Ovis aries: one gene and its partners. The protein of the gene in region 3 purifies or fractionates together with the protein of the main gene of each other region. This does not show direct contact. Links are inferred from orthologs where the notes say so. Each region holds a gene or a part of one and is shown on either strand. Other genes may lie near its edges.

Region 1 (3,652 bases), on a different chromosome or scaffold from region 3:
GAGCACATCATGTGAAACGCTGGGCTGGATGAACCTCAAGCTGGAATCAAGACTGCTGGGAGAAATACCAATAACCTCAGATAGGCAGATGATACCACCCTAATGACAGAAAGTGAAGAGGAACTAAAGAGCCTCTTGTTGAAGGTGAAAGAGGAGAGTGAAGAGGCTGGCTTAAAACTCAACATACAGAAAACTAAGATCATGCATCCAGGATCATCACTTCATGGCAAATAGGTGGGGAAAAAATGGAACAGTGAAAGACTATTTTCTTGGGCTCAAAAATCACTGAATGGTGACTGCAGTCATGAAATTAATAAAGATGCTTGCTCTTTGGAAGAAAAGCTATAACAAACCTAGACAACATATTTAAAACAGAGGTATCACTTTGCCAACACAGGTCTGTATAGTCAAAACTATGGTTTTTCCAGTAGTCATGTATGGATGTGAGAGTTGGACCATAGAAGCCTGAGTGCCTAAGAATTTATGGTTCCGAACTGTGGTGCTGAAGAGTCCCTTGGACAACAAGGAGATCAAACCAAGTCAACCCTAAAGGAAATCAACCCTGAATTTTCATTGGAAGGGCTGGTGCTGAAGCTCCAATACTTTGGCCACCTGATGTGAAGAGCTGACTCATTGGAAAAGACCCTGATGCTGGGAAAGATTGAGGGCAGGAGAAGCAGGTGACAGAGGATGCGATGGTTGGATGGCATCATTGACTCAATGGACATGAATTTGAGCAAACTCTGGGAGATAGTGAAGGACAGGGAAGCTTGGCGTGCTGCATTCCATGGAGTCAGAAAGAGTCAGACACAACTGAGTTAACAACCATTATTATGATACTATTATAATATTGGTAAAACAAAGCATTTCCCTTTGGAGTTGATGTTTTGTAGTATAGGAAGAATAAAAAGCTGTTCACTTAAGTAGTTTATTTTACATCTTAAAAGTAGGACACAACTGAAGCGACTTAGCAGCAGCAGACTTCATTAGATACTTGTGAGATCAAGAGAGTTCCTTGGCTGCCTCCAATGAAATCCAGTATGCAGGCCCAGACAAAATATATTGTGTGCTCACAGAACCTGCATGTTTAACAAATGAAATTGGCCTAGATTTTGTCTTTGAAAAATTTCATCTTGACACTACAAACTGGAATTATTCATGCACTCATTCAATAAGCAAATTAGAGCAAATTAATATTAAACAGATGGCTAATTAAGCATGAAGTTAGTAGTTAACATTAAAAACATACATGCAAGTTGCAATTACTGTCGCAGCATGTTGAATTAATGCCATCACTGTCATTTTAGATTTTCTCTCGATTTAGCTAGTTTTGTATCACTAACTTAATCTTTCACTTTTCTTGGGTTTTACAAATCTCCCCTCAGTAGCTGAAACACATTGAGAATTTGAAACTGATAGGATGCCTACGGAAGTGTTTTTCAGAGCCCTCTGACCTTTTCCAGTCTGAAAAGCCAGTCTGGCTCTAGGCCAGCTTTCATCTTGGGATATCCCTCACCTTTCACCTGTGATCTCTCTTGCCTCTTCTGTGGTGACTGCCTTTCTGAATCCCATGTCTTCACATTTCTTGGTTTGCTCATTTATCCCCCTCTTCCAGCTCTTTGCTCAGATGTTACCTTGTCAGTGAGACGTTACCTGTCAATCTATTTAAAATAGCACTTTCCCCCCCCCCTGGCATATTTTATCTCCTTCCCTAAATGATGTTTCTCCTCAGCACTTAGCACGGACAGTCCATGCATTCTGCTTATTTATTATATGCTCTAGCCCTCTATAACGTAAGCTTTATGAGAGCAGAAATGTCGTCTGTTAGTTCACTGCTGTGTCTGTTAGTGTATCCTACCAGATGCATGTAGGATGGCATCTGGATTATGGCACTCAGTTTGCTGGATGATTTTATGCATGTCCTGAACCCTTGGTCATTTTTACCTGAAAACAAATGTTCATTTCTAGGAAATTTTCCTCAAGTATTCCCTTCCATTTTCCGTTCTTTTTCTTCAACTCTGGTTATGAATGTAGACATCCTGAACAGGCATTCTGATTTTCTTGTGTTTTTCTTCCTATTACCCATCTCTTTGTTTTCTTTTCTCTACTTTCTGGGAAAGGAATCCGCCTATATCTTTTGGTCTTATTATTATCACTCAGGTTTATCTTGTGGTTTCATAAAACTTTCCCCAAACCAAACAAAACCCCAAAAAAGTATTGATAAGTCCAGTATCAGTAATCTCTGAAGATATTAATGATGGATTGTTGATATTGTCTTCTATACACCTTTTGGTTTTTCCAAGGTGTTGTTTTCTGTGTCAGTTTCTGCATTTCATATTACTTTCCTGAAATGTTTGATCAAGCTCATGCTCTGTATAAAAGCAGCACTGAAAGCTGATAGGAAGCTTTGTGCACGTGAATGGAGCTTATCTTCCACTGCAGTCTAAGGGTGAAGTAACTGGATTGCTTCCTTGGGGAACCACTGATGTCTCTCTTTAGGCTTTTCTTCTTGGGCTGAAGACTCTTCTGGTCTCTTACCTGGAGGACCATGTAAAGTCACTGGCCGTGTTCTGGGGAGAAAGTTTACTGTCTTAGCATTTAGTGTGTTGTCAGTGTGGAATTTTGCCCTTATTTCCCCAAGACGGGAATCTGTTCTGCTCTCTCAGATTGAAACCTCTTGTCTTCTGTTCGGATGGGGTGGGATGGTCACCCAGCTGTGTGAAGTTGGGGCAGGGCAGGTATCTGGGTTTCCAGCTTCTTTGGCTGATTCTATTTTTACCCTGAACTTCACCCCAGGGATACAGGATATAAGTTAATTCCTCAGTTTTGGGGGCCATTTCATGTGAGTCAGGTTCTCTTTGCTTTGCACAGCTCTTTTGAGGATTCAGGTTTCTCAGGCTGCCAAGTAAATCCTCCTTTGTCCATCTGCTTTCCAGCTGCTGGCACCAGTATCCTGCTGATGGGAATTTAGGTCATCTTTACTCATTTGCTATTACAAATAATGCTGAAACAGAAATACTTGTATGTCGTTTAAAAAGAAAATTTACAGGTAGATGAGATGGCTGGATGGCATCACCGACTCGATGGATGTGAGTTTGAGTGAACTCCGGGAGATGGTGATGGACAGGGAGGCCTGGCGTGCTGCGATTCATGGGGTTGCAAAGAGTCGGACACGACTGAGCAACTGAACTGAACTGAAAGATTATTATCCAGGTCGTTGAAACATGGTGCATGCATTAATGATCTTTCTTTTCTTTTCTTGTAGGCCTTGAGAGTAATGGCTAAAATTATGAGAGAATGTTGGTATGCCAATGGAGCAGCTAGGCTTACAGCTTTGCGGATTAAGAAAACATTGTCACAACTCAGTCAGCAAGAAGGCATCAAAATGTAAATTCTGTGGCTTTGCCTGAACTCTACTTCTTCTTCAGATCTGCTCCTGGGTTTTAATTTGGGAGGTCAGTTGTTCTACCTCACTGAGAGGGAACAGAAGGATATTGCTTCCTTTTATGACGATGTAACAAGGTGAACTAAAACATCCCAGGATTTCTTCAGACCCAGGAAACTGCCATGTGGGGTCCTTTCTGTGCACTATGAACGCTTCTTTCCCAGGACAGTTACAAAATGTTGTGTAGTCTACCTTTATTTTTTATTA
Region 2 (3,652 bases), on a different chromosome or scaffold from region 3:
ATGCCACTATCTTTAAATAAATAGCTTTTGCTGATAAAGTAGAATGCTTTTAAAGTAGTATGAGAAAATTCTGAGTTACACTCTAGTTGACTTTAGGTGTTCTTATGTTACTTACAAGATTTTTTTTCCTGGGAATAAAAGCTTACAAGATTTTAAAATATGTTTGTTTTTCTGTGTAGCTCCACCAAGTATGTTGGTGAAGGATGAATATGTTCATGACTTTGAGGGACAGCCATCATTATCCACTGAAGGGCATTCAATTCAAACCATCCAGCATCCACCAAGTAATCGTGCATCGACGGAGACATACAGCACCCCAGCTCTCTTAGCTCCATCTGAGTCTAATGCTACCAGCACCACCAATTTTCCCAACATTCCTGTGGCTTCCACAAGTGAGTTGTAGAGTCAGATATAGTCAGCAAGATGAATTTTCCTAACAATTGAATATTTATAGGTAGTCACTTGGAGGGGACGTCCGAGTAAGTGAATATTAAAAGTACTGTGGTTATCTTTCATGGGTTAACAAGCATCAGATAGGTTTTTGAGTTGTCCTGGAAAAAAAAAATATTTGTAATTTTAAAAAGTTTAAATGTATCTTAATGTAACAGAACATAAACCGTCTTATGTTGATGTATAGTCCCTTGGAATTTAAATAATGCTTTAAATTAGTGGTCTAATTTGTACTTTATTACATGCAGAAGAAGTCTATTGAGCTTTCACATAAATTTTAGAGAAATGTTTAAGTAGAGAACAAATAGTTTTGAACCAAGATATTTATAGAAATCTGTATTAATGGAATTGCAAACTTTCCTCTAATCAGTGTTTTTATTTTGCTTTATCTGGCAGATTACTTTATAATCGTCATCTCAGTCTCCAGTTGTACAAGCTTATTAGAAAAAAGGACCTTGACAAATTTATTTGTAACATATGACCCTCAGGATAGATGTTAAGTGTTCTAGTCAGTTTTGAAATAAAGCTAAATTATATGTATCTTTTTTTTTTCCTAACAAGAAGTGTATTTTAAAAAGATTCTTGGGATCGTATGTACACCCGTGGTGGATTCATGTCAATGTATGGCAAAACCAATACAGTATTGTAAAGTAAAATAAAGTAAAAATAAAAATTAAAAAAAAAAAAAAGAAAAGATTCTTTCCAGTTTAGAGGTACTGCCTTCTCTGCTGTGTCATGGAAGCAGAGGGCTATTAGGTTCAGCTTTTCTTGGGGCCTGGTCAAGGCAATAATGACCTTATGTTGGACAGTGGAGTGGCCTTTTTTTTTTTTTTAAAAAAAAGAGTACAGTTGCTTTACGGTGCTGTGTCAGTTCCTGCTGTATAGCAGAGTGAGTCAGCCACATGTATGTCTGTCTTTTTTCTTGGATTTGCTTCCCACTGAAGTCACCATAGAGCACCGAGTAGAGGCCCCTGTGCTGCGCAGTAGGTTCTCACTAGTTAGCAGCTTCATGCATCGCAGTGCATGTGTGTCAGTCCCGGTCTCCCAGTGCGTCCCCACCCTGCATCGCTCCTGTTTTATTTTTAATTACTCACAGAACAGGGTCTTGGCATTTGTATTACTGTGTTATTTGTACATCAGTGCTAAGGAGATTGTATCTCAGCCCACAACAGCAGTAAATTATTGATGCATCTGGACTGATACTTTGTATATTGATATCAAAGGAAGCATATTCTATTTATTTTAATATCAGATCAAGTTCAACATAGAAATTTGATCTTTGGAACAAATGAAGGATTTATTTCTACAGTTGAATTTCAGATAAAGTACACCAAATTTCCCCCGCTTTATTTTACCTTTTCAAATAATATCCTTTGTATTTCCTACACAAGATGACAGTCTTCATACAGACAGCATATTCCAAATAGGTTGGACCATATAGGTTAAACACATACTTTAGAGCCTGAACCTTTAATCACTTGGTGCTTCTGTTATCTCTGTATTAACCAGTTTGGGAATATAGTTGATAAACGAGTGGGTGGGGAAGGAAAATAAAAGAAGGTGCATTATAGCCACTTGAGCATAGATTAATGCCACTTACCTCTATTGATACTATCTGAGGATTGAATTGGCATGCCTTTGTTGATGATTGCTCATGCAACTTCATTTTAACCATTAATGTTACTGGGACCAAGTCCTAGTCAAGATCAGAAAAAGTGGTATAAATGAAATATGGGTAATTTTGTCTTGGTGTTTTTTGGATGTATTTTCACAATGAGTAGTAATTAACTGTAAGTTTTAGAATTTGTTGCAGAATGTTCCCTTAGATCTTAAAAGATATATTGATAAAATTAGAAAAAGGAAATGACTAAAATAGAGGAATTAAAAGACTTCATGAGTTGTTTTAATTTCATTTTATGTTCTTGGAATTGTGTAATGAAAGTATTCAGTATAGATAACTGTAGTGGGCGTTATGTTCAATTGGAACCTGAATATCTACAGGGATTCTTTCTAAATTAAGATAGTTCAAATTCTCCTGCATAGTGACAATTTTTGTAAGATAGCTAAGAGTATATAACATGTACAGTTGTTAAAAACAAGAGGAAATATGCAATTAACCTTCAAAGATTACCTGTAAAAATTTGAGGGGGATGAGTAAGAAGGGAGGTTGCTGAAAATATCATCTTTAAAAATAAATACTTTAGGGAGTATTGAAATAGTCTTTTTAGCTTTTAATTATATAATCTTAGCCTTACAGAAATCTGATTTGTAGCAGGAAGAAAAGTTTTCTTTTTTCTTGATACTTTGAGCTGTTCGTTGCATATTTGGGCAATGGTGTCATTTACTCCCTTCTATCTGATTATACTCCTATATGGTTGAGAAAAGATTAAGGTAATGCCAGTAACAATAATTATGGAATTTTAGTGCTTTCCAAGTGAGATGCACAGTTGACTTAATACTTGCTTGAAAAAATTTAGCCTTTTTCACACAAAAGATACAGCCTTAAAAATGTAAGCAATTTCATAGAATGGTTTTAAATAGAATAGTTCTCCTGTTTTATTACATACAGAGAGGGCAACTAATTTCTTGTAAATCCAGGAATATGATAGTGTTCTTAGAGGCAATTCTTGATATTTAAAAGTACATGAGAAAATATCACAATAGACTGATTTTTTTTTTTTTTTGGTTTATTTATTAAAACTCGCAGATGCTGCGTTAACCGGACAGTGGAGCTTACCTTTTTTCCTCTTAACTTTCTCACCTTACCATTACATTCCATTTAAAATACTTGTCTGCTCTGCTTTTTTATTGAACTTTAGCATTCTGCTATTGCTACCATTGCTGATAATAATGAGCTTTCCAATTTTCAACATTTCCTTGAGCCTGGACATTTGGAATCCTAACAGAAAGATGCAAAAGCTAGATGGAGTGGCTGTGGGTGAGCTAATGTACTTCTGAAGAAGTTATTAAAATAGGCTAGACCTGTACTGGGGTTTTGCTGGCATTTGGAGAATATTTATGAAGAATGGGCCACTAAAATTAGCTAGATATTAGAATAATTTTGAACTTCTTCAGGTTAAGGTTTGCCTTTATAGATGACTGCAGGGTTTTTTATTTGGTAGGCCATGGGTGACTTCACTCTTTGCTCATCTTTATAGTTGTGACTTTCAGGTATAAAATCCTTCATTTACTGTGTAAAGCC
Region 3 (3,752 bases):
TTCCATGGTCTGCATAGTCCATGGGATTGCAGAGTGGGACAGGACTGAGAGACTTTCACTTCACTTCACTTCACCCAGATTGATGAGAAGTTCTTGGAGGTAACTTGATCTGGAGAATTAAATGACATTATTGATGAATTAAAAGAGACAAATGACACAGGATTAAAATATATCAGATTTTATTAAACATTTAAAATTGCAATAGTAGTAGCCTTAAGCAAAACAGCACACACAAAAAATCCTCCATGTACACTTTTGCATGCATAGATACCACTTTTTATTCTGCTTTTAAACTTTGATTATTTATAAACTCTTCCATATTATACGATCTTCGTAATTGCCACTTAAATGGGGGCATTAAAACCTATGCGGTTGATGTAATGAAATTCGCCATTAGACTGTCAGCTCGTCTCCCTTTTGTTATTAACCGAATTTTGCAAGAACATCTTTTGTACTATTATATCAAGAATAAATTCCTGAGTGCAATTACAGGGTCAAAGGGTAAGGTACATTTATTTTTATTTCATTTTCTATTTTTTTCCTCCTGAGATAACAAAATACAGCCCTGTACGAAGAGCTTTCATACATTGCTCTCAAAGGCTTATCTTGTTAATTATCCTTTAAGGCATTATCATCCGCCTATCCCTGCGCTACAGTTGAAAAAAAGAGCCCAAGCAGGCTGGTAACCTGATCTCGTTCACCAGGTGAGTCCTGGATGGAGGTGGAAACTACGCTACCAGGAGCAAAATACCCTTAGGGATTTGCCGGAACCCTCGGTGTGGGAAGAGCCTCTCCTGCCTCACTCCAGCCGAGGCTCAATCCGGACCGCAGCAGGTTCGGTTCTAACCGCTGGCCCCTGCCTCTCAGAGAAGCGCCCTGCACGCGGTGGGCGTCTAATAAAGGCAGCCTGTATTTCGCGGACAAAAGCTCTCCCTTAAGCGGGTTGAACTCCAGGCCCTCCTGGCACCACAGAGGTCGGCGCCGCCACCCAGATCCTTTGCCCGCTCCTTCCTCAAGTTCTGCGTGGGACAGCAGGGCTCACCAGCCCGGACCGCCGCGCCCAGGCCGAAGCCAGGCCTGACGCCTCCGCCCCCCCTCGGTGCTCCGCGCGCTGCCGCCCAGGCCCCGCCCCCGGCCCCTCCCCGCCTCGTCGGCCCCGCCCCCGTCTCCACCCCGCCCCCCGGAGCCGCTGAGTGGCGGCGGCGGCCCCAGGACCGGGTTTCCTCAGACAAGAGGGCGGGTGGAGGAGGAAGCGGCCGAGCCCAGAATCCTGCTCCGGCGCCGCCGAGCACCGCCCGCCACAACCGCCCGGCCCCGTCGGCTCCTGGGCCTCACCGAGCCGAGAAGAGGGAACGGCAGAGGAGGCTGCGTGGAGGCGGCGGGGGCGCGGGCGGAGGCGGCGCGGCCGGCCGCGGCTGCCGCTTTGTTGTGCGGCCCGGGCCAAGGAAAGAGAAGTGGGAGGAGGGGGGAGCTCGGCGTCCCGCTCCCTCCGCGGCTCATGGCGACGACGCTCGGCACATCCGGGACCCTCCGGCCGTGGCGGCCGCGGCGCCGGCTGCTCGGGCCCCAGCCCCGGCCGCTGTGGTGACTGCGCCGCGCCTCACCGTCGCCCCCGCCCCGCCCGCCGCCCGCCGGCCCCGGGCCCCGGGCCCCGCGCCGCGGCCGCAGCCCCGCCGCCGCCCCCGCCGCCGGGGACATGTCTAACCCCGGGGGCCGGAGGAACGGGCCCGTCAAGCTGCGCCTGACAGGTGAGGGGGTTGGGCGGGCGGCGGGAGCCAGGCCGGGGCGGCGGCGGGGTGGGCGAGCCGGCGGGGGGTGCCTGTGGCCTTGAGAAGGGCCAGGGTCGCGATCAATGGTGAGTGGGAGGTCGGGGACGTGGGAAGGCCTAGTTCAGGGAGAGTAACTGCAAAACCAGTCTCCCTCGTTGGGAGATTCTTAGAAAAGCCAAGGGTGACTCGGGGGTCTTTTGTTGTTGTTGTTGGGGGGGGGGTCCCCCCGTTGGAATTCCAGGCGGATTTGAGGTCGAAAAGCCTTGGCCGAGAAGCACGACTCTCTCCCGGGGCGTCGGGGAGCAGCCCTTGGGCTGCTGCCCAGGTGGGGTCGTGGAGGGGATGAGGAGCTCCTGTGGCGGGGATTATTGAATCCGGCTGCTGACTGCGCGCAGTAAACACTCCTTAAAGATGGAGCGCTTAACGGGAGGGTGTGTGTGTGTGTTCCCCGGTTGTTAACTTGTTCGCCCACTTATGCCCGCGTGCAAAACCTTCCCTCTCGGCTGCCAGGCGCAGCCGTCGGTTCCACACACCTGAAACGCACGACTTTATAGGGAAGGAGACCGAGGTTGACTTTTCCGGTGTGTCTGCCTGATCCGACGACTCGCGCTCATTGTACCCTCTGTGTTTTGGAAGTGTTTGATTGTAGGGTAGTATGTTTGGGGTTGTTCCTTGTAGGCCGCAGAACTTGTGTCTCGCTTCTAACTCTAGACCTGCTTTAAAAACACACTTTTTTTGAGTCCCTTTCTAAGTTTGTGCTCAAACGGACTTTGAAGCAGAGTTTTTCTCTCTCTCCCCACTCTCCTCCCCTTCCTTTTTCTAAATGGAAAAGAATGTCTGGAGGGGTTGCTGGATAGCAGGCTTTTCTTACGAAGTGTTTATGATCCCAGGTGTGTTAGATCTTTAGTGTTACAAGTACATTTTTGATCTTACATGGTCGTTTTACCCCATTTTAGGGAAAAATTATTTGGAGTTTGAAACGTGTAAATGAAACCATTGTAATTCTGGCTTCATTATTCGCTATTAATAAATTATGCAGGTTGATATTCGGATATGTGGCGAGAAAGATGACTTTCCTTAGAGAATGTGTGTGTGTGTGTGGGTGCGTGTGTAAGAATAAACTGTAATTATGTTTGTCTCCACTAGACTTTGAGATTTATATGGACTAATTTTGTAATTGAATGCTTGTCTGTTACATCCCAGTCCACTGGCTGAACTTTCGAGATAAAAACTTGCAGTGAATTAGGTATTCGAGAATTTAGCCTGACTGTATGTTGGCAGCAATTTTTAAAATATATTACTTTCATGACAGTTTTACTTTCTCTAGAGAATATTGCAAAGAATCATTAACTGAGTGGTTCTTAATGGAAAACCTGGATTGGGGGATGCCTGTCTCCCCTACTTCCCCCCATTCAGTTTCCTTATTTTCTTAATCAATGGAAACCTTTGTAAGGGACCTTTGTCGTAGAGTTTATCTACTGCTGTTCCTCTGTGGAGTCAGTCTTGTGTCAGTGATCATGGAAAGAACCTGTGATTCCAGGTGTGCAAAAGGCATCAGAAATAGCCTGGTGGCCACTTAATTCCTTCTAGGTTATATACACGATGAGAGCATGAGGGAGAAAACAGGGCTCTTGACTTTTTGCAGATAAAATGAGTTTGAGGTTTTTAATGTGATTCAGAAGATCTTGAAGTGTTTATCTGTGGTTTTCTTCCTACATATGATACATTATAAAAATTCATGAGTAAAGTTAGGAGAAAAGATTACACTTATTTTTGAAGGGATAGGGAATACTGGGCTAAATCTATAGAGTAATTTTGTATTTTTAGATTTTTCTGAGGAATTTTAAATACACTTTGTCCCCTTAATTGTAAAAACAGTTTTAGATACTCTCAGTTTCTTAAAACCATTGGGAATTTGTCTCTGTCATATTTTAAGAGAAAACTATTTAACTATTAAAAACTTCGCCTTCTTCCTTTTGGTTA

What was found.
Region 1: the proteins of SMURF2 (region 3) and TGFBR1 purify together in Homo sapiens (affinity purification with western blotting; 8 studies listed by BioGRID). This does not show direct contact. The link is inferred for Ovis aries from reciprocal best matches to the Homo sapiens genes SMURF2 and TGFBR1.
Region 2: the proteins of SMURF2 (region 3) and SMAD4 purify together in Homo sapiens (affinity purification with western blotting; 3 studies listed by BioGRID). This does not show direct contact. The link is inferred for Ovis aries from reciprocal best matches to the Homo sapiens genes SMURF2 and SMAD4.

The regions. Positions count from the first base shown.
Region 1 is NC_056055.1:48,711,211-48,714,862, reverse strand, and holds part of TGFBR1 (TGF-beta receptor type-1), read left to right. Parts: intron 1-3,265; coding exon 3,266-3,391; 3' UTR 3,392-3,652. UniProt on the Homo sapiens protein: Transmembrane serine/threonine kinase forming with the TGF-beta type II serine/threonine kinase receptor, TGFBR2, the non-promiscuous receptor for the TGF-beta cytokines TGFB1, TGFB2 and TGFB3.
Region 2 is NC_056076.1:50,874,322-50,877,973, forward strand, and holds part of SMAD4 (mothers against decapentaplegic homolog 4), read left to right. Parts: intron 1-179; coding exon 180-392; intron 393-3,652. UniProt on the Homo sapiens protein: In muscle physiology, plays a central role in the balance between atrophy and hypertrophy. When recruited by MSTN, promotes atrophy response via phosphorylated SMAD2/4.
Region 3 is NC_056064.1:48,570,362-48,574,113, reverse strand, and holds the start of SMURF2 (E3 ubiquitin-protein ligase SMURF2), read left to right. Parts: upstream 1-1,226; 5' UTR 1,227-1,696; coding exon 1,697-1,748; intron 1,749-3,752. UniProt on the Homo sapiens protein: E3 ubiquitin-protein ligase which accepts ubiquitin from an E2 ubiquitin-conjugating enzyme in the form of a thioester and then directly transfers the ubiquitin to targeted substrates.